Canis lupus familiaris: one gene and its partners. The protein of the gene in region 3 interacts with the protein of the main gene of each other region in a biochemical or structural test. Links are inferred from orthologs where the notes say so. Each region holds a gene or a part of one and is shown on either strand. Other genes may lie near its edges.

Region 1 (10,710 bases), on a different chromosome or scaffold from region 3:
GCTATGTGACTTGGGGCTATGAGAATCACTTTCTTCAGTTATACGTGGGGATGATAACATGCCCTTTACAGAACTACTTTAAGAAGTAAATAAGATGAAATATTTATAGTGCTTGGCATAATGGCTCATAGCAAAGATCACGTTATTACTGTGGTCACTACTGTTATTGAAAAGAAATGAGGACTTCTGTTCTCACAAAACGAGATATGTATCCTATATTATTGTAACTTCATATTATTTTATTTTTGACCTTATAATCTAATAACTTGATCCAGCAAACATGTAGCAGTAAGGATAATTGAAAGGAGGTTACTTGTCAAACATGGAAATGCCATTATAGTAAGGGCTGGCGCAATGTTTTTCTCAGATATTTACCCATAGAAAGATTTGGGTTTGCTTTTATTAAGTGCATAAAACACATATATTTACTGTGCTGAATGACAAAAGGTCCATGAATTAATTAGAGTGACTATAGGTTGCATAACTGTCCTCTAAACAGTAATCACATATGCAATTTAGTTGCTGGGAAAATGTGTTTCCGACTGTTCTTTTTTGCCTACTTGAAGTATAAGGAGATAAGTAGTTAGGCTTGATGCTTACTGTAGAGTGACCTGGGAGCTTAATGTACTTTGAACTCCATTATGCCAGCAAAATGCTTCTCTGCCCTGGAGACATCAACAAAAGATTTGCTTTAATGAAGGGAACCAAGTATGGTTCTAAAGCTTCCAAATAGGAGGCCTCTATGCTGCACTCTACGTCAGAAGTGTTCACCTTATCTCTCAACCGCATCAGGTTGTGATAATGAATGCTTAAAGTTAATACAGCAAATGTTGGGAAGAGTGGAGAAGAATGCAGAGTTCTGAATATCCCAGACCTAGGCTAGAAGGATTATATTTAAAGTAAAGGAAGTATCATGTTTAATTTTTTACTTAATGAATACCAATCAGCAAATCTTACATTAACAGAAGAAATCACTTGATCTGCTAGGAGGCTTTTAATTGCACGTGGCTTGAAACAAAACTCAAAATAGTAGAAGAAATTTTTATTAATTACTTTATATTAAGAACAAGTACTGGAAATTCAGGGACACAGCTATATTCAGATATAGCTGGATTTGAGACTTATCATCAGGGCTCTGGCTTTGTCTCCATCACTCAACCTTGCTTGTCTCTGTATGAGTTTATTCTACAGAAAGTCTTAGGTTGGATGGCCACTGGGAGTCCCAGAGTCATATCACCCCAGCTTTGAAATTCCAGAGAGAAGAGTCAATTTTCCCATTTTCCTCTGACAAAAAGTCCTGGGGAAGATTCTGATAGGTCTAATCAAAGTCAAAAGTGTACACCTGAAGTCATCACCTGCTTTGCTTGAGTTCAGTCAGGAATTTCATCCCTGGGGCCAGGGAGGAGGCAAAAGTCATTATCTGGCAGTTTTCCAAGGGAAGGTCTGGTGTTTTTGCAAGATGAAATGGGACAGAACACTGGATAATGAAAGTTAAGGTCTGCTACTATAAACACCACAGTTCTAGCTCCCTGCCTGGTGTCTTATGACCATGTAGTAAGCTAACCCAGGAGGTCATTTTTCTCCATACCAGCCTTGATATACATGACTAAGGAACACACTGGCAAAACAACAAGGGGAAAAAATCTGAATATGGGAAATCAGCTACACTGGTATTAACTAAGATACCTGTGTGAAAACATTCTTTAAAAGTACCTCAAACTCACTCAAAGTTCAAAGTGGCAGCTGGAAATGGATTTTGGACAACAGCGGGTTTTCTCCAAGCAAATTATGACCCAAAAAGGTTAAAGACTTAGAAACTACATTTGTTTTTAAAGAAAAAAAAATCAGGTGAGGTAATTGAGACATGGAAAAATTAAGTGACTTATGCAGGGTAACAGAGCTAACTAATGGCAGGATTGAGATTGGCGTGTACTTTGTGTCATTCAGCTATGGGCTTTTAAGCCCATGACACAACCCATATATGCAGGAAATGGTGCATTTATGATTCAATATCCTCTCAATGCTTATGGAATTGAAGCAAAGGCATCCATTATTATATTTGAAGAGAAAAATCCCTAAAGACATCTTTATATCATGGGCAAGTATCATAAAATATACATGTAGAGGTATCTTCAAATATAGTATGTGCCTGTCTCTATTCCTTCCCTCTCTGCTCTTTTCAAAAATGCCCCTTTAAAAATTGCCCACTCACCATCTGTTAGGTAAATTTCCTGAAACACAGTAAATGTGGAGGCAGAGATTGTTATAGAGCCTATTCCAAATGGCACTGACACCTGTATTTATGAAATTTTGAAAAGAGTAGGTTAGAGTGGTTTTTTTAAAAAAAGGCCCCACTATAGTAATACCACACCATTCTAGGTGCCCAGTTCTATCCAATTACATAAGATAAAAGGAGAGAAGAGAAGGAGCAAAAGAAAGATAGAAAAAAAACTAGGCCCATATATCTAAAATGCCCCCAAAGTTGGAGATTATATTCAAGCTTCAATGAACAGAAGGACAACATTTAGAAATTTACAAATGTATTTCACTGATGGTACAAGGTCCACAGGTGTAGATTTGCAATATGCCCCAACAAGAGTCAAGTTGGCTACTTTTCCCATCTAGTTGCTTTTGAAGAAACAAAGCAACTGAAACAGACACCATTCAATTCCAAGTCCATAGCTTACACCATGTCACTGGCCATGAAATATTGTTCATTCAGAGTCAGGATGTAGCAAGAGTAATTTATACGCTCAGAGTGTTTGCTCTCAAGTCAGTAACAGAGAAGCCCTGAATAAAAACATGACCATTACTTTCCACTCTAATATATCTTACTTATAGCTCATAAAACCGTGGTCAGGGGAGATTTATCCTTTGGACACCACATTATATAAGCTCTCCACTTTAAGCCATCCCCACTCTGTGATTATTTTTTAAATACGTTACTCATAGTCAAAATTAATTTACATTTAATCTTTCTTAGCATTAGGAGAGTATTATTTTGTACAGGCTCAGAAACAAATCTCCAGAAATTCTCCCTGATGCTTCTTTGAGGCTAAAAATGCATTGCAGGGTGGTTGCAGTGACTTAATTCTAGTTGGCAGAGCCCTGGCCACACACTAATTTCATTAGCCTCAAATTCCTAGATTTGAAAGACCCAATGGACATCATTCCTATCCTCTGACATGTCACTTACTAATCAATTCAGTGTGATACAGAAGAAGGGGGGGTGGGTGGAGAGGACTTGCTCAGTTCATAGCTTTGGTCTTCTACGCCAGCAGGCAAATGAAAATTCAAAGTCATAGGCACTATTTACATCTGAGGAGTCATTCTTGCCCAGATCCTAATTCTCAGGAAAGAACTTCATTTCAGTTTGTGCTGGCTACAACAGCATAAGCTACATTTATCACTGTTTCTTTACTCTTTGCTGTCCCACCCCATCAAAGTGTGGAGCACTCCCCCATTTAAGTCACCAAGTATTCCTTCACCCAGCCTAGAAGCTTATCTCACAATAAATTTTTATCTCAAATGATAGCTTTGGCATGGTCCCCGCAGCAACCTACAGGGCCTGGGAAAAGAAAACTCAATTCTCTGGAGAGCTCAGAATTCAATCATTTAGAGAAGCTTCTTTTATATAGGACAATCTTAATTGAGCTGAACCCTGCAATCCCAGAGAAGAGTCACCTACCGTTCTTTCCCGCTTTCTCTCTAAATTGATTGTGCCTTTGAACAATGGGTCTGTGTACCACTATTCTCTCTATTCATTTTGCAGGCTTATAGAGGCTTGGAAACTGGGGATTAGACTGGCATGCCAGGAGCTCCTATCATCACGTGCAAAAAAAAAAAAAAAGGTTGAGGCTATTGGAATCTCTATCTGTCTATCTATCTATCTATCTATCTATCTATCTGGGCAATGGTTGAGCAGGATGCCCACACCAACAGTTTTACCCAGCTCACAGCACAAGCTACAAGTTGGTGCATTCCTCCTGCCACCAGCCTCTTCTCCATAAATGCAGGTGAGAACTGGGGGCTCTTTTTCCCTCAGCTGTTCAATCCAACATGAATAGCTGCAATTTGCAAATTAGAGGAAAATGACAGTGTTTTCTCTGAATGGTTTTGGTCCCAACCCACACTGCTAACACTGGCATTCGCTTCCTTTCCTTCCCAGCCCAGGGAACGGGGGAACTAAGCATAAGGCAAGCCATTTCCCGTTCTTCTCACAAGAGCCTCAGGTTCACACACCAGAGGAAGAATCAGCTCCCCCTGGAATCTTTTCCAGCAAACTCAGTCCTTCAGCCGAGCTTGCGATCCCTCCCCTCCTGACTTTAGCATTTCACTCTTTTTTCCAACAGGCCCATCTGCAGCACTGCCTGTGTGCTGAGTGAAGGAGAAACCCACACCAAAATAATTTAAAAATGTGAAACACCAAATGTGCCTTCAACCCCCAGGGCTCAGGGCTCACAGGGCTGTGAGTCACCCCAGTGGTTCTCAGGTCATCTCTGCTCCCACTTTCTCCTGCAGCACTGCCCTCTGAAGTTGCCTCGCTTTAAGCACAGACAAGAAGGAAACGCTTCTGGGTTTTGCTTACATTAATCCAGCCTCTTCCCAAAGCATCATCTCGGAATTAAGGGTGCCCCCAAAGCATTTGCGGGTTTGCAAATATCTAGCGAGTCCCAGGATGGCACACTTAAGAAGGGTTAGGGGTGCTCAGATCAGAGGGGCCATACCAGGCTGCAGCCTTGAGCAGACACCTCTCTTGGTGCACACACAAACTTCACACTCCTGGGGGCTGAGGTGGTGACAGCCCGAATCTCGCAAGGAATCCCCTGCAGAAACCCAACACCCTTAGGGAAAGCAACCAGAAGGGAGCCAGTTCTTTAGATGTGGGGAGCATCAGGGCACCAGGGTTAGCTAGCCCATCTGAAGAAGGGATTAATCGAGTTTGGGCACGATCAGGAAAGGGGAGAGCTGTGCATTAGGAAAAGACCATCTCAAGCCACAGATGAACAAAAAACTTGAGGGTGCGAGGGGGGGGGGGGGAGACAGGGAGAAAAGAAGCAGAAATTGAAAGAGAGGGAGAGAAAAAGAGAAAAACAAGGAAGAACGAGAAAGACGGGAGAAATAAGGACAAGGGAACCCACGATCACACAGACCCTGTGACTCGATTTCTTAAAATCCCAAATCCGCCCCTTTGTACCCAATGCAGCAGAGGAGCCCCGGGGCTCGGAAGGCAGGAGCAGGCGGAGAGCGAGCACTGCAGTAGAACCCACCGCTCAGCCGCCCCGGATCCGCCTTCCTCCCATTTTCGCCGTTGCCCTCTGGCGCCCGGAGCCGGGGGGCCGCCGGCATTGCTCCGCGCACCCCAGAGCCTCCCTCCGGGCGCCTTCTCGCCAGGCTCCGGGAATCGTCCGCGGAGCGGCGTTTGGGGGCTGGGGGGCTGCGTTCGGGAGGTCGTGGGAAAGGATGGGCGGGGGCTGGAGGCAGCGAAAGCGATTTTGTTTCGCAGTTAGCATGAGCTCATCTCTGGGCTCTGAAGTGGCAGGAGTAGAAAGCTGATCGCCCAGCTCCTGCCGGCGGCCGGACTGCAAATGCAATTTAGACGGTGCAAACAAGTGCCCAGAGCAAATCCCCCGGGGGTCACGGCTGCGGTGGCACCTCCCCGCTTGGGGAGCGTCCCCGTGCCTTTCGCCCCGCGCCCTCGCGGAGACGGGCTACACAGGTCGGGGGATCCAACCCGAGGGAGATGGGCAATTAGCATCCACACACGAAGGCGAAGACCTAGCCCTCGGTTTAAGCTGTGCCTCCCTAAGCTCTTCTCGAAATTTTCCAAGGGAGCTGCGGCTTGCGGGGCGGCTTGGGGCTGGGAAGCTGGGGAGTTGAGAAATGCCCAGTTTCGAGGCGTCTTCTCATCTTTCATATTCCATGAGCCCAGCCGGCTCTCACAGGAGCCTGGCACTTTTACAAGCCTGGTTTTTTGGACCATATTTCACTCTAATGCAAACCCATTTAAATCATCGCCTTGTTTTTCGCAGATTGCTTCTTGTAAATGGGGCCATAAATCCAGGATGCCAAGCCGGATGGAGTGGAGCGCGGACAGGGGAGAGACGGAAGGGAAATGAACCAAGCGGGGAAGGCACCTCCTCGGGTGGGGTGGGAGGGATTCGCCGGATCTCCAGGGTGGAAATGCGCGAAGGCTGACCTGACCCCGCACCCCTGGAGTCCCAGCCAGCTTTTAGGATCAAGTGCTCGGGGAGCTAAGGCGCGCTCTGCCCCGGGGGGAGCGCCTCCCTACCTGAAAGAGCCTCAGGATGTTGGCTACCATGATGGAGACCGAACTCCCCGAAGCCCCAATCACTCCAACTACTTTCTCCGGCTTGACGAAAACCGGAGGCTCGCCGTTGGTGCAGCGCACGTCGGAGGTGTCCTTCTGGATGAGCGCCTGGACGAAAGTGAGCGACTGTTCGAGCGCGTAAGTGTCCCTGGAACAAGTGTCCAGGATCCGCGCGCCCAGCGTCACGTTGGGCAGCAGGTTGGGATCGCTGTTGATCTGGTCCAGGGCGTAGAGCATCGCTTCCAGCCTGTGGATCCCGTTCTCCCTCTTGATGTCGCCGCAGGGCACTCCGCTAGGACCCTTGGCGTGCACCGGGAACAGCCCCCCGAGGGTGACGTCCCCCTCGATCCGGATGGAGTGCGGGGCGTACATCTCCTGGCCGCGCGCCGCCGCCGCCAGCGCGCACAGGAGCACCTCCAGCACGCAGCAGGGGAACTTCATCAAAGTCAGGACGCGGAGCAGCTTCCCCAGCTGGACCATGCTGCTCCCGCGGCGGCGGCGGCGCTGGAGGGGACGGTGGCGGGCTCGCCGGGGTCCGGGCCCCTCGGGGTGAGGTCCTCCCGGGAAGCCCCGAGGCTCCTGCAGGCGCGGAGGGTGGGGGCCCCCGGGGAGGGGCGGCGGGAGAGGACCGGGGGTCCCGCGGCGCCTGCCGGATCGGGGCTCCGTGCGCTCCCGGGTTCGCCGGCCGGCGCGCCGCGCTCGCGCTCCCCGGCTTGCCGCTCGCGCTCTCCAACAGCCCAGCACTGGGGAGAGGGCAAGGATTGCTATCGCTTTAAATGGTCGCTCGGCTCCCTCTCCTCCTCCTCCCACTCCCTCCCCCCTCCCTCGCGAGCTCCCCGACTCTCCCCACCCTTCCCAGCGCCCGCCCTCCCCACTGGTTTGCATCATCACGCAGGGAGGGGTTGCGTGCTGAGGTGGGGGGATGGGTGGGCGGCTAAGCCGGGAGTGCCTCCGACTGGGAGTTTCGCGGTCCCCGGGGAATCTAGGGATTGCAGGTCGCAGGCCAGGCGTGAGCTGCTTCTCCGCTCCCACGCTGGCAGCCTCCGGCGCGCGCCTGCACCCACGCGCACCCGCCGGGCACGGGCGGCGGCCAGGTCGGGAGGGCGCGATGCCGCCTCCTGCTCTCACCCTCCCGTCGCGAGCCCCGGCTGGCCGAGCCCGAGGGCGCGAGGGAGGCGCGGTGAGGCGGGGATGCCGGGGGACCCGCTGCCTACTCCTCGTAGATCTGTGCCAGGCTTCCGTAAGAAAAACACGCATATACACGGGAACCTGATTCATGACTTAAAGAGCCTTTACCCGGAGACTTGTCCGGGGCGAGGCACTGAACCGGCTCCTAGGAAAACACGCCGAGAAACGCTAGGAACGTAAGCGCACCCTGGGTCCTCACCGGGTCCTGGGGCCAGGGCGGATGGCTCGGGCTGACCGCGGTCTCTAGCAAGTCTGTGGCTGAAAGCTCGGACTCCTCTCTCTCCCTCCGTTCGTCGCCAGAGATGTAACACCCGAGAACTCTGCAGAGCACACTTTTTGCTCTGGCGCTGACAGGTGCAAGGCTCCCTCCTACCCATTTCCAGCGATGCTTCTGGGCTGGTGACAGGTTTCCGCGGGCAGGAAGCAGCAGAAAAGAGGTGACAGTAGGAGGAAGAAAGAGAGGCAGGTAGAAGACTCCCCAGTGATCCAGATGCCTTTCTATCTTTTTTTTTTTTTTTTTTTTTTTTCTGGCTGGAGATTTGGTAGCTAAATCAGGATGCAGTGCGGTTAGGAAGCTGATTTTCAAAGGTGTCCCCTCCTGCAGGCTGAGACCAAACTTGAGCTATTAAAGCAACAGGTGGCCCTGGTTCTTATATAAAAGAAGGATAATGTCTCTGTCCTTGGTACCAGGGTGGTTTCAGGCTGGTTAACTCTTGCTGAGGTTTTCTGTTGGAGGGCAGCAAAACTATATTATACAGATTTGAGAGTGACGAAAACCAGAAACAAGGCTTTTTGTTGTTGTTGTTGTTGTTGATGTACTAAAGAAAAATGTCCTTGGACAAAAAGCAAGCAAACAAACAAACAAAAAAAACCACACACACACACATACACACACACAAAACAAAGTCAGAAGATAGTGGTTTGTCTCTGCCATCAACTACCTGTTTGCTCTTGTCATTTCTGTTTTCCTATCTGGATTTTAGTTTCCCTCTGTAAAATGATGAGATTGAACTGGGTGCTCTCCATGGCATCTGTTAACTCTCAAATCCTCTTAAAACAAGCCATGTCCCTTTGGCCATGGATCTCTCTTTTAGGCCAATATCCTCTATTTCTTTATGTGTAAGAGACCTTTTTTTTTTTTTTTAACTCCAAAGTACATTACAAACATATTCTAGTACACAGGACTTTTTCTTTTTCTTTTCTTTTTTTTTTTTCTTGTCCATCATCTATTCCTCTTCCTTCTAGGGATAGTACAGTCCATCAAATTCTTTTTAGATAAGCTCCTCCTCCATGTTTCATTACCTATGATTTGAGAATGGAACCCACTTCTTATAAGTTAGTGCTGATGACTGGCTACAATGATGAGTTAAAGGATGGGAATAGAGCCCAGCCAGAGCCATCCAGGACCAATCCCTGGACTTTTGTTGTGGTATGCAGGACAGTGACACAAGGTTACCACTATCCAACAGACGATATGTGAATGAGTTAGAACCAAAAAACAAAAAAACAAAAAGACAAAAAAAAAAAAAACAAAAAAAAAAAAAACACTACCTCTTCCTCAAAATACTTCATGTGTATCTTTTAGAAAATATACTATTCTTATTATCTAAGAACACATTGCACAGTCTGTTTCAAGAGAACAGTGCTATAATTAATGTACTAATACTGCCTCCATGTACAATGTGAGTATCAATCAATCTAGATGGGACTATGCTACAATCTTACACTGTTATGGCCCCCACTCTTTCCTGGCATTCTGGAGCTGTAAGGATATAAGTGTGTAGCTGTGCCAGGAGCTTCCACATAAACAGAGAGACATTTGAATCCTATCATAAAAGACAAAAGAGGGGAAAGGGAAAGGAGAAATTGGGGTGGGGGTAGAGAGAGATAGGGGCCTGACTTAAACATCTGGACTCTTAGATCCAGACATGCCAGCAAGATTGCCTCTGGATTATTTTTTTCAGTTTTATACTATTTTCCTTCTGTTGTTTGAAGCCAAAAGGATCCTTTCTAATTCACCTGCTGTAAAACACCAGCTCAAAAAGGGTGGAAGGCCTGAAATGGGTATCTTAAGTTACCATCAGCTAATTTGGAAAGGGAGAGAGAAGCAAAGCAATAGGAAGGCATACTTGGGAATACAAGTACTACAATCCTAGTTTGGAGGCATTGGTGCCCCAGGCTGTATTTCAGAGATTATATCCTTATATAGTTTTTAATTTAAGAATATTTATTAGGAACTTGGTGACAAAAAAAAATATTTAGAAAGTTGGGTAACAAGTAATGTCGCCTGATTTTTCACCTGCCCAAGTCCTAGTCCGTGTTGTACTTTGCCATGTCCATTTCATATCCTGTGATTGCTCAATAAATATTTCTTGGCTGACTACTAAATGTTGCCTTACTCTATGCTCTCTCTTTGCTCTGCTCATTCTCCCCAAACATCTGGTAGCAATCATTGTCTTCTTTTTATTGCAGTCATCTGTGTTCATGTCTTATTTCCCTTGCCAAGTTGTAAGATCCTTGAGGGCAAGGGCTGGTATTATTTATCTTTTTCTCCTGGGCAATGTTTGGAATGGTGTTTTGTACCTAGGAAGCACTCATGTGTTGAATGAATCAAAACTGGTCTTGCCATTTCCCACTGCCTTTATTTGACAATGACTGAAACATAAAGTGGGCAGAGCAGAAACAGTATCAGATAAGTTGCTGCCCTCTTAGTCACACTGTGCAGTTTCTAGAACTTCAAAGATAATTAGTAGATTTTGAAATAATTGTGTCTTACAAAAACTGCCTAGGACTGAAATACTCTAATCTTAAAACTCTTGATCAACTATAAAGGGAGGCTTCCATCGGTTCTTCCTGAGTTAAGTGTTAATTCTTGGGTCCTTCTCATAGGCTGATTGAGGAAGGGCAGAAGCCAGACACTAGCACCACTTGAACTGAGTGGAAAGAGTGATCTGTTACCAGAGAAACAGGGAAGTGATGCTAAGCTTGCCAAATCTACAGACATCCAAGCCTTACAGTATCTAATTCATCTTTATATCTTTAGCTACAGAGCACAGGATCTGGAACCTAACACGTGACACAGTATGTGCTTTTTTGAGGTTATATGAACCAAAAATCTCTGTGTAAGACTAGTTGATTTAAAACCGGACCAGTCATCATTCTAGCGCCATATTTAATGGGAAGAGAATCTA
Region 2 (9,922 bases), on a different chromosome or scaffold from region 3:
TGGGCTCACTGGGACCTGGAGGAGTGCCCATCCCGCAGCAGCAAGAGCTGGCACTGGCCTTCCTTCCTGGGAGTGAGGCCTCGTTTCCAGGCTGGCTTCATGCTCGTCGTGCTTCATGTGCTTTGACCAGTTGCTCTGTAACTGGCACTGGTTCTTACTTTCATCATCGTTTTGTTTGCTTGTTTGTTTTAAATCAGATCCACCCACACTTTCTTTTGCTACCTCCACTGAGCCAGTTCCAGCAGGGCTGTCTTCCACAGCTTTGCACATTCCGGGGATCTGGCTTTCCTTCTAATCATTCCTTCATACCCAGGGTGTGGCCCTGCAGCTTCCAAACCCGGCTCTTCACCATGAGCCCTGGGCATCTGTCCTGCTCTGTCCACCCTGTCCAGGAGCCACACTGTGGACCTTGGGGCATCAGACGTGGGTAATGGGGTGTCCTTGGCCTTGACTCGTACCTCAGCTTCACACTCAGGAACCAGGTGACATTGAGCTTGACATGAACCTCTCATGGCTCATCTGCATCTTCTGTCAGGTGCCATTGAAATGAGCAGCCAGTGAAATAAAGAGCTTTATTCAGGCCAGCCAGTTCTGGCTTCCCAAAACCACGCTGCAGATGGCAACAGCACTTTCTTCAGAGGACTCTAGTGACTCTAGTGACGCTGAACTACTCACTGCATCTGAAACCTTGTCACACAGTCTGGAGGGGAGCTAGAGCTCAGACATAGGTGCACTTATTTAATTGTATCAATATAATTGTTATTTCTATAGAAGATGAAAGCACTTGGTTAATAATGTGACATTATTGGCTTTTTGAATCTCATTACTAATCATTTTAGAGATTGTCTGTCTCACCCTTTTATACGTGTTTGGAAAACACTCCAGTAACTTTGCAATCCCCAGGAATTTTCTTGTCAGAGTAACATTGCTTGTTTTTACAAGGTCTAAAAGGTTAAGAATATTTTGAAAAGCATTACAGGTTTTTCAAGTTTTGCTTATTTCCAATGTTCTTCTTTTCTTTTTTTTTTTTTTTCTTTTTAAAGATCTCATTTATCTGAGAGAGAACACGAGCAGTGGGGAGGAGCAGGAGAGGGAGAAGCAGGCTCCCCACTGAGCAGGGAGCCCAAGGCAGGGCTCCATTCCAGGACCCCCTGGGATCATGACCTAAGCTGAAGGCAGATGCTTAACCCACTGAGCCACCCATGTGCCCCTATTTCCAGTGTCCTAATTGGATTACCAGACTCTCAAATATTTGAATCCTAACTTCATGTCAGCAGAGGAACTCCTTCTAGGAAAAGGAAAAATCAATGTCTTGTATATTATTAGATAATGGCCAATCAGGTGAGACTTGGTTATTGGTTGTCAATCATCTCCCATAGATATTTTATTAATACTGGGGTGTCTCTAAATCAAAGGTACTATAGAGAGAGTGTATATGATCCAAATCTCTCAGTCCCTGATGGGGCAGAGGCTCCGTCCGATTGGCAGCAAACAGCAAGCCCAGTTGGGCAAATAACTACTTGTTTTGTCCACATTGAACAACTTATATCACTTCCTTACTTGTTGAATTAATAAATTAAACCACAAATATGATGTGTTTCCTCTTTGCCAGGAAATATTCTATTTATTGAGGAAACAAAGACAGAAGGGATTGTTTTTGCTCAGAGGAAGTTTAAAACCATGCTGGAGAACTCTGCTGTCTTTTCTGAAAGACACTGAAAATCTCTATCTTCCAAAGCTAAGGAAGTTTTTCCTATACTATGAGAACTAAATATTATTTGGGGCTTTGAAATGACTAGACAACTAAACTTTATCCAATTTATCATCTCTGGAATGTGTTATTAGTAGGGCTTTGAACTCTACCAACGTGATGGTGTAGTTATACCATCTGGCAGAGGAACTGTTTCCGAGATCAACACCGCTTTCTATGAGAGGTCAAAGAATTAAGCAGCTAATGGCCTCAGAACCGTGGATGGAGACCAAGAGAAATATGTTCTGTACATATCACTGTAGCTACTGAAATCTGCTTGGGATCTTCATATCTTCCCGTTCCCCTTTCCAGCTCTAGCCTAGGCATTAAAAAAAAAAAAAATCTCGAAAGGAAAATCTCAGTTTGGGGATTTCTCCCATGGTTGTCAAATTTTAGCAGGCTCTGAGAATTTGCTGAGGTTCTTCATGTGTTTCATGGCATCTGAGCATATAGGCATTTTTTTTTAACAATGTCTAGTTCACAGGAAGCTGGAATGTTGTCAGAAGGATTGTCACATCTATAGCATCTTCTTATTCTGCCTTCTATGCCCATTTTCCAAGTAGGACTGTGTCAATGGGACAGCCTAATAAGATTCAGAGGCTTTATTGACGTACAAGATCAGAGGCCAGTCTTGTTTAGTTTTCAAAACTCCTGAATGATGATACTGATACTAACACCTATGTATTTTGAGTTATTGCTGTGGCTTGGGGTCTGCCCTCCTTCTGTTTCCTTAAATCTTCAGAATAGTCTTCAAAGTTTGTGGTATTGCCAATGAAAAATGTAGAAACCAGAGCTTAGGGAGGAAAAGTAATTTGCCAGAAATTATACAGCTAATAAATTACATCTATTTGGCTTTAAATTCCACGTTCTTTCTTCCACAGCCTCTGGTTCCCCACAGAACATTTTAGGTATAGAGCTTGTGACTTTTTATATTTGTTACATTCATTCATTTATTCATTCTTTTTTTTTTTCATTTATTCATTCTTATTTCTGCCCCCATCCTTTGACTTTTCCATCGACGGGCATATTTTCTCTATCTGGTACAAAGCACTGTGTGAGTCATTCTGATAAGTAAAATACAAGTATGACCCAGTTGCCACTCTCAAGAATTTCTAAGTTGAGTCTGAAGATCAGACAGACAGACAGACACCCCCCCCAAAAAAAACCTCTACACTCTGACCATGGCAGGAAGAGCATGACAGGCAAAGATTGCTGACACTCAGGTGCAGAAGAAAGGCATTACTTTTATCTGAAGCATGTAAGTCCTGAAGGTAGAGAGAGGAATTTTATCTGACTGAATTCTTGAGCCTCCTTGAAAGGAAAACACTATGGACAAAAACCTCAGGGGATGTTAGGAGACTCATTCTCAACTGTTTCCTCCTGTTGCAGAGCTCCTGTCCTCGCATGTCTGCTCAAGTGTACTCAGATCTTGGTGTTGCTTTATTTGAAATGACTTAGGCTCAGGGCTATGTACAATTCCTATGGTCCTGGCTGAACGCGGAGGCTGTGATAAATAGTGATAGAATGTCTATCAGATCAATGAGAATGGAAAATAGATATTGTCAGCTATTACTGCCTAATGAACAACCACAAAAATCCCAGTGCCGTACATCAAATGAGCATCTCCTTCATGTCAACTGGGGGTCCGTGGTGCCAGCCTGCCTCAAGCTGGAAGGCTTTTCTCAAGCTGTAGGTACAGCTGCCCTGGTCCTCTCTGTGGTTGAACACAGGTCTGTGTCAGATGTACACATGGGGCCCTGGCTCAGGAGGTGGAAAGCACCCAGAGGTGCTCTACTGCTGACCACAGCAGTGGTGCAGATACATTTTAAGGCCCTGGTTCAATCATATTGGCCAAAGCCAGTCACGTGACTGAGCCCAAATCAAGTCTAGAAGGAGAGATGGGAGTGAACAGCTCTGATGAAAAATCTCATCTCTCATATATACGATGAAGGAGATGGAAAGGAGATCAAATCATGAGATAGGTGATCTAAAAAAGAGAAAAGTCTAAGCACACCTGAAGATGATAGTAAGATGTCAGATTCTATACAACAGGTAATAGTGAGACATTTGAAAAGGTTATGTCGCACACTCCAGAAACTTGTACATAATAGATGATAGAGGGAGATGGGAGGTCAGGGAGCAATTGCACAGCTACTATAATGATGAAAGCTTAAAATGGGGAGGTGGCAATTGAGAAGTAAAGGAGCAGGAAGATATGAAGGCAATTTCTGAATCAGAATTAGTTGCTCTTGGCACCTTGCTGGATATAATGGTAGGGTGGAGGAGCCCACAGCGGTGATTCTACTGAAGCCATCAGAAGACACAGAAGGATCATCAGAGTTGTAGGTGATGGGGGAGGGCCTGATGCCTGTGTACCATGGAGGAGGGCAGTGCTTCGACAGAAATGGGGACATGAGGTGGGGCAGACTAAGATGGAGATTGAGGACACAGTGACCATGGCTGAGTAGGAGCCACCCTGAGATTCACAGAGCTGTGAGGACAGGTGGCAAGGAAAGCAAGCATGTCCAGGTGACAGAGGCCTGGGGCATGGGGTACAGAAGCAGAAATGGTACTGAGGACCAGAGGGCATCCCAGTGATCTTCTGAGTCCACAAGGTGAGCCTGCAGGAAATGCTGCTGCATGTTGGGCACCCCTCATAAATGTTTGCTGGTGATGGTGATGGAGCTCTGGAGGGAGGATGGGGGCCAGTTATGACTGTTACAAGCATTGCTGTGTTTGCATGGTGTTGTTTGAACATTGCTACGATGAGAGCATGATTGTGGGTAGTTTATAGATATTGAAATTCAGGGATTGATCGAAAGAACGAGGTCCTGGCTCTGCAGGAGGAGGACTGCAGACAGATGAGTGATTTTCCATCCAGTAGATATTCTGAGATGAGGCTTTGATCTCAGGTAGTCTTGTTTTAGCCCTAGCAAATTATCTGACTTCTAACTTTAATTCTAGTAAATTTTACAGTCTTCTGTTCATACACATCAATATATTGATGCAGAGCATTTTTTCACATATTCACTGATTTTAATTGTGATCTTGGATGGATTGGCCTGCGTATGCTGTTCACTTGCTTCCCCATCGCTGTGGTGATGTTTGCTGGTGACATAGGGGATGCGTGTGGAGTCTACCATAAACATGATTTTAAATTGTAGAGAGAAATGCTCTGTAACTGACAATAACCAACCCTCTGTTTATAAAATGGAGATGAATGCCAGTATTTATATCTGAGAATTGGGAGGACACATCACTTCAGAAGTAAATCAATTTTAAAAGAATTTTGCTTTTTGCTGTGCTTATGTGTGCAGTGTGGTACGTTTTTGCCCTATGAGCTCTCGTGTTGCTTTGACTGTTACCCTAGTTTTCTGTTGCTGTGTTCCATGTATCCCCACGTTTTGGTAGCAGGCATGTGTGTGAGTGCCGTGGCCCTGCTGACCCTGTGTCTGCCTCTATCAAACACACATGGCTCTCAAGTTCCATGACTGCTGCAACCTTGGGCCTAAACAGATCTTAGCCTCTTCTGTGGACTCTGGGATGGAGGACAAGTCAAACCTTACTTGGCATTTTAATGATTGCACTTTCTCAGTCTGTGTCTGCCTTGTTCCCACACAGAGCTGTGACCTGGATCAGCAGAGCATCATTCACGTTGTGCAGAGACCCTGGAGCAAAAGCCAAGAAAGGGAGGTCCCTGGAGGAGATGGCCCACGGAAGGCAGTGGAGGGCTCAGACAGAGAGCCTGAGAGCTTAACGCGTGTGGACCTCAGCAGCTCTGTCCTCCCAGCCCACTCGGTGGGTCTAGCTGTGATCCTGAGCGACGACTCTGAGAGGGTTCTGCCAGCCAGAAGACCAGGTAATTGTACAGATTATGTCTACGGCCAATAGAGCACTTTGTGTAGCCGACCTCTGCAGGGAAGGGGCTCAGTATGTACATATTTAATTCATGTAAGGTCTGGATTACTAGAAGGAGGCATCATTAGAAGGATGGCACTTGGCTATAAAATTTGAGGTGAATACATTTAATAAATACAATAGAACAGGGCTTTCAAATTAAGAATGAAGGGAAGGGCTGGAGCAGGTGTCAGGACCATGGTCATGGTATTTTATTTTAGTTATTTTTAAATTTAATTAATTAAGATGAAGCAGGATGCTGGAAATATGATGCATTGAGCTAGGGTCAAAATACATGATTAAGGTGCATCTATATCCCTCCCAGGTTTTGCCTTTCTTTTTCTATTTCTTATTTTCTTAAAATACATTTTGGTTTATTGTGTTTCTGATGATGTAGGGAAATTTCAAAAAACAGAAAGAGAACTTTAGAGGTAACTTTAATCGTGTGCCAGTGCTAAGACATTACAATGTCAATAACACCCGCAGTGTGAACGATGTTTCTGTCTTTCCGTGTTACACCCCATTTTCAAAATGCTTTTATTTAGCAAGGATGGCGATTCCTTTCTTATTTTGCCAATATTAATGTATTTCCCTTAATCTTTTATTTTTATTTTTTTTTAAGATTTTATTTATTTATTCATGAGAGACACAGAGAGAGAGAGAGAGGCAGAGACACAGGCAGGGGGAAAAGCAGGCTCCATGCAGGGATCCCGATGCGGGACTCGATCCCAGGTCTCCAGGTGAAGGTGGCGCTAAACTGCTGAGCCACCCAGGCTGCCCAGTCTTTTATTTTCCGATCTAAATAGTCAAAGGTAGGGGTGCCTGAGGGTACCTGGGTGGCTCTGCCTTGAGCTCAGGTCCTCATCTCAAGGTCTTAGGATCAGCACCCACCCCTCTTCCAACTCCCTGCTCAGTAGGGAATCTGCTTCTCCCTCTCCCTTTGCCCCTCCCCACTGCTGTGCACTCCCAGGTTCCTGCACACACACAGGCTCTCTGTCTCTCTGCCTCTCTGTCTCAAATAAATAAATAAATAAATAAATAAATAAATAAATAAATAAATAAATAAATCTTTTAAAAAAACAGTCAAAGGGGGCAGCCTGGGTGGCTCAGTGGTTTAGCGCCTGCCTTTGGCCCAGGGTGTAATCCTGGAGTCCTGGGATCAAGTCCCATGTCGGGCTCCCTGCATACAGCCTGCTTCTCCCTCTGCCTGTGTCTCTTCCTCTCTCTCCCTGTGTCTCTCATGAATAAATAAATAAAATGTTAAAAAAAAATAGTCAAAGGTATAACAGGATTCTTTTTGCCTGTGTGTGACAGAAAGCACAAAATAATAGCAATGACTTTGTAAAGTATAAGTAAATTTCTCTCCTATATACAGTAAGTGAGGATTATATGAGACATAGGAAAAAATGTAATACATGGGGAAAAATGAGATCCATCTAAAACTCTGCAGCACCCATGTGATCCAGAATGGAAAGTTAATATAAGTATTGGACTCCGATTTATGGTGCATCTGATGTTTCAAGTGGAGCATACATAAAAGCTATTCTAGAGAACATTCAGGTGGCATGGCAGGTCGCTTCCAGAGGGAATCACCCCCTCTTAAAGGGGCACACGTCATCAAACATTACAATTCAAACAAAGAGACATTCTGTCTTGAGTAGAAGTAAGTATATTCCATAAACTGGAAGATTGGTTTCCCCTGAAACTTGAGAAAATAAAGTAACAATTTGAAACAGAACACAAAACAAATACTTTTGATGTTAATTAAAGCATAAAAGAAAAAAATTGAAACCTAAAACAGAATACAACCATAATAGAAGAACAGCTATTAAATAGAACATAATTTTAGCTATTGGAATGAAAAAAAAAAAAAAAAAGTCCTCAGTGGATGGGTTAAAACAGCAAGTTTGGCAATGCCAAAGAGAGAAATTGTCAACTGGAAGATAGAAATGAAGGAGTTGTCCAAAGTGGTACAGGTTAAAATGTAAAACAATGCTTTTAGGAGACTGAAAGTTTGGAAGAGATGGCCAAACATATTTCTGATGAGTTTCATGACAGGAGAATACAGAATAGAAAAGAGACAGTTTTCTAAGAGAATACTGAAAATTTTCCAGTATGTGTAAGTCCTCTGATTCAAGAGTACATGGTCCCAAGCATAATAAAACAAAGAAACACACAATTGGTCTTAATCAAGATGAACAAAAATAAATTCACTTTATAAAGAAAGTAAAGGACCAAGGAAAAAAAGAAGATATTAAAACCAATTGAAGAAGGAGATTACTTATAATAGAACAGTAATTCGAATGGGTCCTGGCAGGAATAATAGAAGAAAACAATATTGGAATAATATCAAATGGCCAAGGGATACACTTGTTAACTTATGGCTCCAAACCCAACAGGCCTAACAAAAATATTGCTCAAGAGTGAGAGGGAAATAAAGACACTTTCAGATGAACACTGAGAGTATTTGTACTCAGTGTGAAAGAACTGTTGAAGTACTCACAACAGCGAGGAATGGGTTTGAACTCAAAGTGACAAAATGGGATATGAGAGATGATGCTCAAAAATACAAGGATAAATACAAGTTTAAATGAACATTGGTATAAAAAATAATATTGATTAATTTAATGGGTACAAAAATAGGAGAGACCAAAGTAGAGGATAAAATGACATTTAGGAGAAAACTGATCAATTCATGCGGAAATATGTTCAAGGTCTCATTAATGATCAGAGAAATTAGTATTACAACAATATTTTATCAGTGTAGCCTACCTGATGGGCCAATATTTAAAAGTCTGACGATACCAAGCATTGGTTAGTATATAGGGCAAGAAGTACTTTCATACTTGATGGTGGGAATGTCCATTGATTTACCAGAGATAGCAACTCACAGCTTCATAATAATTAATGAAATTACAGATCTCTACATATTCTGGAACTCAGAGTACATGAGGAGACATCTATATAGATGACCATAATAGGACCATTGGAATTTATGAAAAGATAGCAATAACAGTTGTCTTTAAAAGTAGAATGGATAATCAGCATTTTATTCTTATAATGGGTTGTAAATTGCAAAGGAATGTTCAGTAAGATACAGTTTATGCAAAATTTATGTAAAATTTCAAACATAAAGTTCAAAGCAATTATATCTATTGTTTATAAAACGATAACCATGTAATATATTTTGTCTAAACAGGATATGTTTGAGAGTTAAAATACATTAAATATGATTAAATTGTAATTATACACAATTATTTTTAAATATTTATGGATCAACAAGTTAGATTTGTTATTTTAATAAATGAATGAATTAGTTCTTCAATAGGATTTAATTTCTTTTCAAAAGTTAAAAAATTCATTTTCTTTAGAGCAAAATCAAGCTTTTATATTTATCATCTGAACATTAATAATACCAGCAGAATAATTATCCTTTGTACTTACACATTTTAATCAGTTTCTTAATATATCTGACTCTGCCATTTTTGTCAATGGTATCTACCTGAAGACTAAAAACAAATCTTACTGTTTATTTTATTATAAAATTGTCTTTAGTCATCTTCAGTTTTATTTTATTATGAATAATTTTGAAATTATTGTCACCTTCAGTTGATTGTCTCTCTAGACTATGATACTTTTAGTTAAGAATTTCTTTTTTGGGCAGCCTGGGTGGCTCAGCTGTTTAGCGCCTGCCTTCGGCCCAGGGCATGATCCTGGAGTCCCAGGATCGAGTCCCACGTGAGGCTCCCTGCGTGGAGCCTGCTTCTTCCTCTGCCTATGTCTCTGCCTCTCTCTGTGTGTCTATCATGAATAAATAAATAAAATCTTAAAAAAAAAGAATTTCTTTTTTCACTGTAGGATTGAGAGAGATATAAGTAGGCTCTCAGAATATTCTGCTAAATGTTTAATATTCACTTCATATTTTTTAAAGGATTTTATTTATTTATTCATGAGAGACACAGAGTGAGAAAGAGAGGCCAAGATGGAACTCTCTGAGGTCTATGCAAGTATAAACAGTCTTATCATGGAGCACAGAGTCATCTGAAGGCACTAGCCATAATGGTGTTGTCATTTACCATATTATGTACATTTATAGGAGTTTATCTAATCTCTTGGTTGGGTTGAAAGAATTACACATTTCAATTAAAAATACGAAGTGAGGGACGCCTGGGTGGCTCAGCGGTTTAGCACCTGCCTTTGGTCAAAGGGCATGATCCTGGGGTTCTGGGATCACTCTCTGATCATCCTGTTCTCATTAACCCACTGACTGTTAGC
Region 3 (10,701 bases):
GAGACACAGAGAGAGAGAGGCAGAGACACAGGCAGAGGGAGAAGCAGGCCCCATGCAGGGAACCTGACGTGGGACTTGATCCCAGGTCTCCACTTTGGCCCTGGGCCAAAGGTGGCACTAAACCGCTGGGCCATCGGGGCTGCCCAATATCTGACTCTTGGTTTCGGCTCAGGTCATGGTTTCAGGGTTGTCGGATAGAGCCCCACATCAGGCTCTGTGCTCAGGGCGGAGTCTGCTTCAGATTCTCTTTCTCTCTCTGTCATTGTCTCTCAAATAAATAAAACTTAAAAAAAAAAAACAATATAAAGTGGAAAGGTGAGGAGGTGTGAGAACATATGGAATTTTCCCTTTTTTGGTGACTGTGCCTGGTTGTAAGGAGCCCATTGGTCAGTTAGGGCCTATGGATATTTTGAGGAGCGTTGCCTGATGGGCCTGCCTGCATTCAGACAGGGCGTCACTGTGAGCCCCTTTCTACATTCCATCTCTCAAGCCTGTTTGCCTAAGAGCGGCCTCTACATTCCCCCTGACAGACAATGACAAATCTTTGGTTTTTGGATGTAGGTCTTACCTTTGGTAGCTTCTTCTTGCTGGAATGAGGGGCGTAGAGATGTCCCCACCTTCACTGGCTGGTCTAGCAGGGGTTCTGTGCAGTTATAGACCAGAACGTGGTATTAGAGTTACGTGCTAATAGGTGGTTTGAGTGAAACTCCTTGGTGGCCAGGGCCATGGGGCTTGGGGGAGGGGACCCTCTGATGGAATGGGCTGGGATCCCTTTTGCGCCATCACTCTGTAGATGGAATTGCTGGATTCACTCAGGACACATAGGAACGTGTCTGCCCATAGATCCAGCTGGAGACTCTGATCTAATAGGTCTGAGACAGGGCCCCAGAATCTCCACGTAAGACACTTCCTGCAAGAGTATGATGCAGGGGCCCGAGCATCCTAAAGCCCTTTAGTGCACCATTGGCTCCACCTTCTGAAGCAGTTGGGCAAAATAATTGCAGTGAGGCATGGCAATAAAAACCTGTGTCATCTGTGCCGAGTGAATCACTCACGAGGTACTTTCCCACCTGCTTCTCCTTTTAATCTTTGTCTCTTTAACTACTGTCTTGGGAGGGATCATCATCCTTAATTCTACAGACAGCTGAGGCTCCCAGGCAAAGGGTGACTTGCCCAAGATCCCCCAGCTACAAAACAGCAGAGCTCAGATTGGAGCTGGGGCCTATCTAGGGTGGGAGCGGGGGCGGCAGTCTATGACAAAGCCTCCGGGTTTACAGGTTGCTGTTTGTTAAAAACCAAAATTCCAAAATTCAGGACCTACACTGAGGGTGGTGATTCCAGCCCCATGGAGGAAGCTGAGGTCATTGTCGGGAGATCAGGTCTTTATCACCCCTTCTCCCTGTCCATCCATGTCCTCCAGGGCCCAGGACACGTCCCAACTCATACCAAGCCACAGCCATCTCAAGGGCACTTACATCCACAGTCGGGGATCGTGCCAGGCTCTGCAGGAGATGCTGGTAACCTCCCTTCTTGCACTTTGTAAATACTGTGTTTTTCACAAATTGAAACTCTGTGGCAACCCTGCGCTGAGCAAATCTGCGCTGTTTTTCTGACAGCATTTGCTCCCTTTGCCTCCCAGTTTCACATTTTGTCACTCTCACGATATTTCAAAATTTTTTATTATATTTGTGATGGTGATCTGTGATCAATGATTACAATCAATGATGACTCACTGAAAGCCCAGATAATAGTTAACATTTTCTTTTAGTAATAAACTATTTTTTAATTAAAGTATGTACGTTTTGCCTTTTTAGATGTATGCTCTTTAAAAAAAATTTTTATTTATTTATTCATGAGAGATACAGAGAGAGAGTGGCAGAGACACAGGCTCCATGCTGGGAGCCCGACATGGGACTCGATCCCGGGTCTCTAGGATCACTGGGCTGAAGGCGGCGCTAAACCACTGAGCCACCCAGGCTGCACTAGATGTATGCTCTTGCCCACTTAATAGACTGCAGTTCGGTGTAAACATAACTTTTATCTGCACTAGGAAACCAAAAAGTTCATCTGATCTCTTTTCTGCCTCATCCTCCCCATCTTCCAGGCCTGGTTCTGACCCACCTCTTCCAGGCAGCCTTACCAGACAGTCTCTCCTCACAAATCTTACCCCTTTTTGTAAGTTCCAGAAACAGTTATTTGGATCATTCATTTGGTCATGAATTATGTATGGCCTTCTGAAATCCCTTCGTGGCTTCCCTGAGCCAACTCTGAGTTGATTAACTTATACATGCTTGTACATTGTCCGAGGAGGATTTCTCTCCTTCGAAACTGGGGCTTATGGGGCGCCCGGGTGGCTCAGCAGTTGAGCGTCTGCCTCAGCCCAGGGCGTGATCCTGGAGTCCCGGGATCGAGTCCCACGTCGGGCTCCCTGCGTGGAGCCTGCTTCTCTCTACCTATGTCTGCCGCTCTCTCTCTGTATCTCTCATGAATAAATAAATAAAATATTTTTTAAAAACTTTAAAAAAGAAAAGGCAGTGGGAAGGCCCCGGACTAGCTGGCACTAAGGCATTCAGGGCTAACACATTAAAGTAGACAAATACTTTCTTGCAGGAATGAATGGATAAACCTTAGGGCACCTGGGTGGCTCAGTGGTTGAGTGTCTGCCTTCGGCTCAGGGCGTGATCCCGGGGTTCCGGGATTGAGTCCCACATAGGGCTCCCTGCATGGAGCCTGCTGCTCCCTCTGCCTGTGTCTCTGCCCCTCTCTCTGTGTGTCTCTCATGAATAAATAAATAAAATCTTAAAAAAACTGGGGCTTAGGGCTCATATCTTGACAAACTCTAAACTGCTTCTCCTTAAATTCTCTTTCTGTATGAACTTTATAACCCATGGCACCTTCCAGGGGATGCCAGGAAGCCATCAATGAATGGGTGGTGTCACTGTGACAAACAAGGAAAGACAATTGGATTGTTTGGTAATGCCTATTAGTGGGAAAATATTACAAACCACTTCATCAGTGGAGGGCGTCTCCTGGGTCAACTCCTGGGTCTCCCTAGTAGCAGGGAAACCTGTCCCAGCCAATTAAGGGGGTGAGGTTTGGACCATGAATTTGAGGGGAAATAAAGGTCAAATAACTTGTTCTCTCACCAGAGTAAGCACTTCTTATCTTTCCAGGCAGAAAGTCCCTCCCGAGGTCGGGGGCAGATCTTATTCTCTGTACAAGCAGGCCCCGGAGACATGGGGCTTGGCTCCAGAACACCGCAATAAAGCAAATGTCCCAATCAGGCAGGTCAGATGGACCTCTTCATCTTGACCTTCACAAGTACCTGTTGGGAGGATCATTTTCCCCTGGTCTATGGATTTCTGAAGCTCAGAGCCAGGCAGTGACTTACCCAAGATCACCCAGTTATAAAATGGCAGAACATGGGCTTGAGCTAAGAGTCATGGGTGGAGGAGTCACAGTTCCTGTTAAAGTGTCTGGCTTTGGAGGCTGGTGTCGTTTTCTTCTTCTTCTTCTTCTTCTTCTTCTTCTTCTTCTTCTTCTTCTTCTTCTTCTTCTTCTTCTTCTTCTTCTTCTTAAAGATTTATTTATTTTGAGAGAGAGAGAGAGAGAACAAGACAGCACATGTGGGAGGGGAAGGGTCAGAGGGAGAGAGAGAATCTCAAGCAGACTTTGAGTTGAGCAAGGAGCCAGAGGCGGGGCTCTATCCCATGACCGTGAGATCATGACCTGAGTGGAAATCAAGAATCAGATGCTTAGCCAACTAAGACATCCAAGTGCCCCAGTTGCTGCTTTTTAAAATTAAAATCCTGGCCTGAACAGGGTTTGGAAGTTCCAGCCCTAGCTCTGCCACTGACTGTGAGACGAGGAGAAGCTGCTTCTCTGTGCCTGTTTCCTTACCTGCACAATGTGGCTGACAACCCATGTCCTCCTCTCACAGGGTCATGGTGAACTCTGAGGCCCTGTGAGTCACCTGAGCTGCAGAGCAGTGGGTACATGGAAAGGTCCCCGCTACTGTGGCATTCTGCACATTTACCGGGACTCCGATGGGCTTCCTAAAGAGGGGGTGCGGGGTGGGGTGGGGCTCCTTCCTCCGCCGCCCCTGGAAGGAAGCTGTGATCCTCCGTGGGCCTCAGGGGGGCTGCTCCTCAGGACTAAAGACAGAGATGAGGTGTGAGGAGTCTCTCACCAAATACCATAGAAAGCATCTGCCTCAGTGCTCTTTGTTTGCATACGGCGAAAGGGGGCACATAAAGGCAACGGCAGGTAACTTGCCCAATCTGTTAACAGAGCCACTGAATACAAGTGTGCAGGCGTTAAAGGGGCGCTGCACTAGGTGGCAGGAGTCTCAGGGTCAAGATCTTGACCTTATACCAACGGTGGGCGGCTCTGGACAAAATCTCTTCTCTTTTTTGGCAGTTTCCTGGTCGCAGACTGAGAGTAGCCTCGAAGGGTCCTTCCAGTTCGGAGGCTGACATCCTAGTAGAGGAGACTCAGCACCCTAGGCCAAGGTGCTAAAAACATGAAAAGGTTTGCATTCCACTGAACTTCGCCGGAAGCCTCCGCGCCCAAGGATGCTTCCGTTGCCACGGCAACCGCTCGGCCGGCGTGGTCCCCGGCGTCCCGCGGAGGAAGCTGGGAAGAGCCCTGCCCTCACCAAGATGGCGGCGGCCACGGGGCAGAGGGCGGGGTTGAGCGTCGTCGGCCCTTCCAGACCTTTCCTCTGTTTCCGCTTTCTCGTGCTAACGGCGAGCTTCCGTCAATACTTGGGCTCTTTTCTGGCTCTGGGAGAGCCCGGAGCCAGGGAGGGAGGGTTGTCTGCAAGAACTGGGGCCAATACCCGGGTGGTCAGGTAGGCGGGACTTCCGCGTAAAAGAGGAAGTGACGCGACAGTCGCGGCCGCCGACAGGTGGAACGGCAGGTGGCTTCAGGTGCCAGCCTGGCCTGGACCCGGCTGTGGGACCGACGCTTCCGGTGAGCGACAGAGGTGGCTCCCAAGGGCCTGGAGATCCGTGGGGCGGGCTCTGGGGTGTGAGCTCACCGCCCTGGCCTGGAACTCCCCCCTCTACCTAGTAAGAATCCCGTCCCTTCCCGCCCCCCAACCTCGGGGACTACCCCCACCGTCCAGAGGGACAGGGGAGGGTCCGGCTCCCCCCGTATCCCCCGGGTGGAGGTTGACATCTAGGCACTTCGGGTCCCTGAACCCTACGCTCTTTTCTCTCCCTGGTCCAGTTCCCCATTCCCCTGCCGAGCTGGGCAGTCAGCCAGCCCACCTCAACTCTCGGAACCATGTTTGCAGACTTGGATTATGACATCGAGGAGGATAAACTGTGAGTATTTTGTTCCTTCCAAGTCCCAGGAATGCACGAGCCCCGGGGCCTCCAGATCCCCAGACTTCCCAGCTCCACAGACCCTTGCTTCTCAGCGGGGGTTAAGTAGGTCTTGTTCTATAGTAGAAATGGACCCTGCCCTTCCAGGAGCTCACCATCTGTAGGGGGCTGCGGACACCCTAGCAGATGACAAGTCAGGGCCACGTGGGTACTAATGGAGAATGGCCTGGCTACAAGGAGAGAGCAGAGGAGCAGTCTCTTGATTGGGGTGTTCAGGGAAGGCTTCAAAAAGGAGGTGGCAGTGGAGCCAGGTTTTGAAGGTGAATGGGAGTATTGTAAACATACTTTCCTTCCCAGTATAGGTAATTAGTAGGACAGATTTTCAGAAATTGTTAGTCTCTCAACTAAAATCTGCCCTCCATCAGTCCACTGCCTGCATCCTCAGCACTTAGTATGGTGCTCGACTCACCATCAGTAGGTTGCTGGTTTGTTGAATGAATAAGTGAATGGAGGCAAATATTTACAGCAGAACATAAACAAGTGCTGGTTTATACTGAAAATTGAGAGGTAATTGAGCAGAGCAACTGAGAGATGGGTGATGGATAATTTAAGAGGAGAAGGCTTCCTGGAGCAAGTGGCCATAATGTTCCACCTGTGCCTGAGAAGGTGAGAAGGACAGAGTCTGGATCAGGCCTCAGAGACAGGATGAAGGAGAGGGAAGGGGGAATCTGTTTTCATGGAGTGCCTGCTCTGGGCTGGACTGGTGTTAAGTGCCTTTCGTGTGCTTTCTTATAAGAATTTTCACCAAGTAGCAAGCCATTTCCATCCATACCATTTTATGGCTGAGGGAACTGAGATGCACAGAGGTGACTTACTTATCCAAGTCCTGTAGATGGTCAGTGGCAGAGCCGGGATCTGATCCTGCATCTGCAGGACTCCTAAGAGCTGCACATGTGCCAGCGCCAGACACTGTCTTTTTGGCCAATTGAGAAAAGAAAAAGCTGAGCAGCACTTGGAGCCTCTCAGGGGCTTCCTTCCTCGTCCCCTTTAAGGAATCCTCCCAGGAGATTCGGCCACATGTGCTTCTCTTTCTAGTGGAATCCCTACTGTGCCTGGGAAGGTGACCCTACAGAAGGATGCTCAGAACCTGATCGGGATCAGCATCGGAGGAGGGGCCCAGTACTGCCCCTGCCTCTATATTGTCCAGGTACTGGGTGCTTTGGAGGTGGGGGTGAGGTCCTAGAAGGGGTGAGCCACCTCCCTCCCCTGGGGCAGGCTTATTTTCCTGACTGCGGAGCTGAGGCCTGAACTCCTCAGAGAGGCCTTCCCGGGCATGCCCCTCAGTAGATGCACCCTGTTCTCTGCTGTATCAATGCGCTCCTTCCCTTCTCAGCTCCGCTCACCATCTGTAATCATGGGTTTGCCCATTCGTCGTCCTCTATCTCACTGCTAGCCAGACACCACACTGTGAGGACAGGATCTCAGCCTGCTTTTTCACTGCTGTCAGCACCAAGTACAACATGTGTCATAGGGTCAAATGCACAAAACTGTCGGCCTGGGGTACTGGTGCAAGTGGAATGTGAATTTTAGTGGAAAGTCTGCAAGTCCATGGGATGCTAGTGGCCTGGTGAACCCAAATGTAAGCCTCCCTGCTCAGCAGCGAGTTACTTGGTAAGCTCTCTGGGCCTCAGCTTCCTCATCTGGCAAGTGAGAGTGTAAAATGTGTAGGTCACTGTGAGGATTAACCAGAATGCCCCAAACATTGCCCGGCATTTAATAAATACGAAGTAGAAGATGTTGTTTTGTACCTAGCAGTTGTTCATGTCCCCGAGACACTCTGCCAGTGGTACTGAACATTTTTGTGGTTCTTGTAGATGAAGCTGCTTTGGTGACATTCTATCAGCTGTGACTCTGAGCAGTGGGGACAGTTTACTTTGTGACGGGTCAGTCACTGGTTTTTCTGTAGGCTCCAAAGGAAGCTTGCCACAGACATAAATGTGACCTGCCTTCTACTCTGTTCCCACTTTCTCAGCTCAGTAGCCATTGGTGGCAGATGGGAAACTGCTGTCTCTCTGAGAATCTTGCAAAAGAGTCACTTTTGGGCCTTGAGGACAGAGATTCCCGGGATGTAGCCTGGTCTACTCTGGGTGCTGCCTTCACGAGCTTTTGGCCTCCTCTGACCCAGGAGGTATTAGGGAGGCCTTGCCCAGGCCTGGGCCCCCCTGCTACATGCCTGCTTGGTCCCTGCCACCTCCCCCTTCTCACCCATTGGGGGCTGGGTTTGTGTAGAACAAACTACGGTTATAAAATAATAGAATTTGGTTTTTAAAAATTGAATTTTTTTTATCAAAGCGTATCTGACTTGCTCTGAACAAGTCGAGAGTACTAGAAGGCCTGTGTCAAATAATAGCACCCACTGTTGCACACCCCCCCACCTTTTTAAAGATTTATTTATTTGATGGGGAGAGGCAGAGGGTTATTTTAGATGGGTAATCTGGTTACTATATAGGTTGTTTTTTTCTGGACATTTTATATAAAAAGAATCTGACATGTCACCTTTGGGGTCTGGATTCTTTTACTGAGCATAATGTTTTTGAATTTCATTCCAGTGTTGGCATATTTTTTTATGGCTGACGAATATTCCATTTTTGTGGATGTACCACAATTGTTCATCCATTCATTTGAAGGACATTTGGCTGTTATGAAGAATGCTGCTGTAAACATGCATGCGCATGTTCTGAGTGTACACATGCTTTCATTTTTAGGGAGTGTGTATCTGAGAGTGGGAGCAGGGTGCCAGCTCATATGGTGCCTCTGTGGTTAACTTTCTGAGGAGCCTCTGGTCTCTTTTCTTAACTCAGTCTTTTCTTTTTTGAACAGGTTTCTCGGGTTTCTTCCATTTGCATTCTCTTTGGACGTTCACTACCTTTCTTCAGGCAGCTGTTTGCCCTCATCTTTCTGGAGTCTGTCTCACTGTGCCTCCCCTTCCCTCTCTGGGGGGCTCCCCTACTTCCAGGAGCCCTCTTTCTTTCCTTCTCTCAAGTCTTTAATTTGATGCCAGTTAGTTAACATATGGTTAACTACATAACATGTTGTTAACTACACTAACATCCAGTTAGTGTAATTGATGTTAGTGTCAGGTGTGCATACTAGTGATCCAACACCTCCTCACATCACCTGGTGCTCATCACCGACAAGTGACATCCTGAATTCCCATCACCTGTTTCCCCCTTCCCCTCTGGTGACTGTCAGTTCTCTAAAGTTTTTGTTTGTTTAGTTAAAGGTTTATTTATTCATTTGAGAGAGAAAGAGGGGGAAAGCATTGGGGGAAGGGGCAGAGAGGGAGAGAGGGAATCTCAAACAGACTCCCCGCTGAGGGTGGAGCCCGATGTGCGGCTTGATCTCACAACCTTGCAGTTGTGACCTGAGCTGAAATCAAGAGTTGGATGTTTAACGACTGAGCCCCCCCAGGTGTCCCTGTTCTCTCTAGTTAAGAGTCTGTTTCTTGGTTTGTGTGTGTCTCTCTCTGTTTTGCCCTTTACCCATTTGTTTTTTCAATTCCACAAATGGCTGAAATCATATGGTCTTTTTCTTATAGACTTATCTTGCTTAGCATTATACTGTCTAGATTCATCTGTATCTTTGCAAATGGCAAGATTTCATTCTCTTTTGTGGTCGAATAACATTCCGTTGTATATATAAACCACATCTTCTATATCCATTCATCAGTCAGTGTACACTTGGGCTGCTTCCATATATTGACTCTTGTAAATAATGCCGCTATAACCTTAGGGGTGTACCTATCTCTTTGAATTAGCATTTTTATATTCTTTGGGTAAATACCCAGTAGTGCAATTGCTGGATTGTAGGGTAGCTCCATTTTTAACTTTCCGAGGAACCTCCATACTGTTTTCCAGAGCGGCTGCACCAGTTTCCATTCCCACCAGTAGTGCCAGAGAATTCCTTTTTCTCCACATCCTCACCAACACTCTGTTTCTTGTGTTGTTGATTTTAGCCATTCTGACAGATGTGAGGTGATATCCTGTTGTGGTTTTAATTTGTATTTCCCTGATGATGAGTGATGTTGAGCATTCTTTCCTGTGTCTATTGGCTGTCTGGATGTCTTCTTTGGAGAAATGTGTGTTCATGTCTTCTGCCAATTTTTTAATTGGATTATTTGGCTTTTGAGTGTTGAGTTTAATAAGTTCTTTATATATTTTGGATACTAGCCCTTTATCGGATATGTCATTTGCAAATATCTCCACCCATTCTGTGTAGGTTGCCTTTTAGTTTTGTGGACTGTTTCCTTTGCTGTGCAGGACAGGAGCTGTCTTTCTCGGCTTACTGCCTCATCGAGGTGGAGCACATCCCCCTGTAGCTTTCTGGAAAAGGCTGCATGGAGGTACATTTTTTGAGAGTTTGAGTCTCTGAAAATGCCCTTATCCTGTCTTTGTTGTTATTCTCATATCCCTTCCAATTGACTTCGGCAAATCAAATTCAAGAATGACTCTCCCAAAAAAGAAAAAAAAAAAAAAAGGCAAGTTTGAAAATAATTTTCACTTAGAAATACAATGGCTTCCTTTCATTATCTTTTGCCGTCAGCACTGTTATGTCTGATGGTGCCCTGATCAGTGACCTTTTATTTGTAATATGTTTTATCCTTGATCTCTCAAGACTCTTGGGAGTTTCCTTTTGTTCTTGGCATCCTGCAGGGTCATGATGATGGCTCTTGGCACAGGCCCTTGTCTGTCTGTTGCGTTGGAGCTCAGAGGGCGCGTCCCTCCAGGAACCTCATGTCTTTCTCTGCCCTGGAAGTTTCTAGTATTAGCTCGTTGATGGGATCTTGCTCTCTGGTTTCTATTCCCTCTTGTGGGACTTCTGGGACTTCTGTTGGGCTTTCTGAATTGATCTTCTAATATTTTTCTTGTTTTCTGATTGTCCATGTCATTTTCATTTTCCTTGGCTTGGTTTCATAGCTTCTTTGACATTGTAAATTTCAGTTACGTTTTGCATTTCGAAAAGATCTTTCCTTTTTTTTTTTTTTAGAATTTATTTATTTGAGAGAGTGCACGCTCATGTGCGTGCGTGCGCACACACACACACAAGTGGAGGGGCACAGGGAAAGGGAGAAGCAAGGCTCTCTGCTGGGTACTGAGCCCAAGACATGAGACACGGGGCTCTATCCCAGGACCCTGGGATCGTGACCTGAGCCAAAGTCAGACACTTAACCGACTGAGCCATCCAGTCACCCCTCTTATTTTTGAGTCGATCCTTTTACATCTTCCAGTTTTTTCTAATCACCTCGAAGACATTAATTATGGTTTTCTTTGTATCACCCCTGCTTTGTTTCTGCTTCCTGTGGTTCCCTTTT

What was found.
Region 1: the proteins of PICK1 (region 3) and GRM7 form a complex in vitro, tested with the Homo sapiens proteins (2 studies listed by BioGRID, with this or other methods). The link is inferred for Canis lupus familiaris from reciprocal best matches to the Homo sapiens genes PICK1 and GRM7.
Region 2: the proteins of PICK1 (region 3) and PRKN form a complex in vitro, tested with the Homo sapiens proteins (3 studies listed by BioGRID and IntAct, with this or other methods). The link is inferred for Canis lupus familiaris from reciprocal best matches to the Homo sapiens genes PICK1 and PRKN.

The regions. Positions count from the first base shown.
Region 1 is NC_049241.1:11,127,820-11,138,529, forward strand, and holds the start of GRM7 (metabotropic glutamate receptor 7), read right to left. Parts: upstream 6,881-10,710; 5' UTR 6,812-6,880; coding exon 6,293-6,811; intron 1-6,292. UniProt on the Homo sapiens protein: G-protein coupled receptor activated by glutamate that regulates axon outgrowth through the MAPK-cAMP-PKA signaling pathway during neuronal development.
Region 2 is NC_049222.1:51,315,705-51,325,626, reverse strand, and holds part of PRKN (E3 ubiquitin-protein ligase parkin), read left to right. Parts: intron 1-5,371; coding exon 5,372-5,609; intron 5,610-9,922. UniProt on the Homo sapiens protein: Functions within a multiprotein E3 ubiquitin ligase complex, catalyzing the covalent attachment of ubiquitin moieties onto substrate proteins. Substrates include SYT11 and VDAC1.
Region 3 is NC_049231.1:27,608,766-27,619,466, reverse strand, and holds the start of PICK1 (PRKCA-binding protein), read left to right. Parts: upstream 1-4,669; 5' UTR 4,670-5,072; intron 5,073-5,232; 5' UTR 5,233-5,289; coding exon 5,290-5,330; intron 5,331-6,425; coding exon 6,426-6,537; intron 6,538-10,701. UniProt on the Homo sapiens protein: Probable adapter protein that bind to and organize the subcellular localization of a variety of membrane proteins containing some PDZ recognition sequence.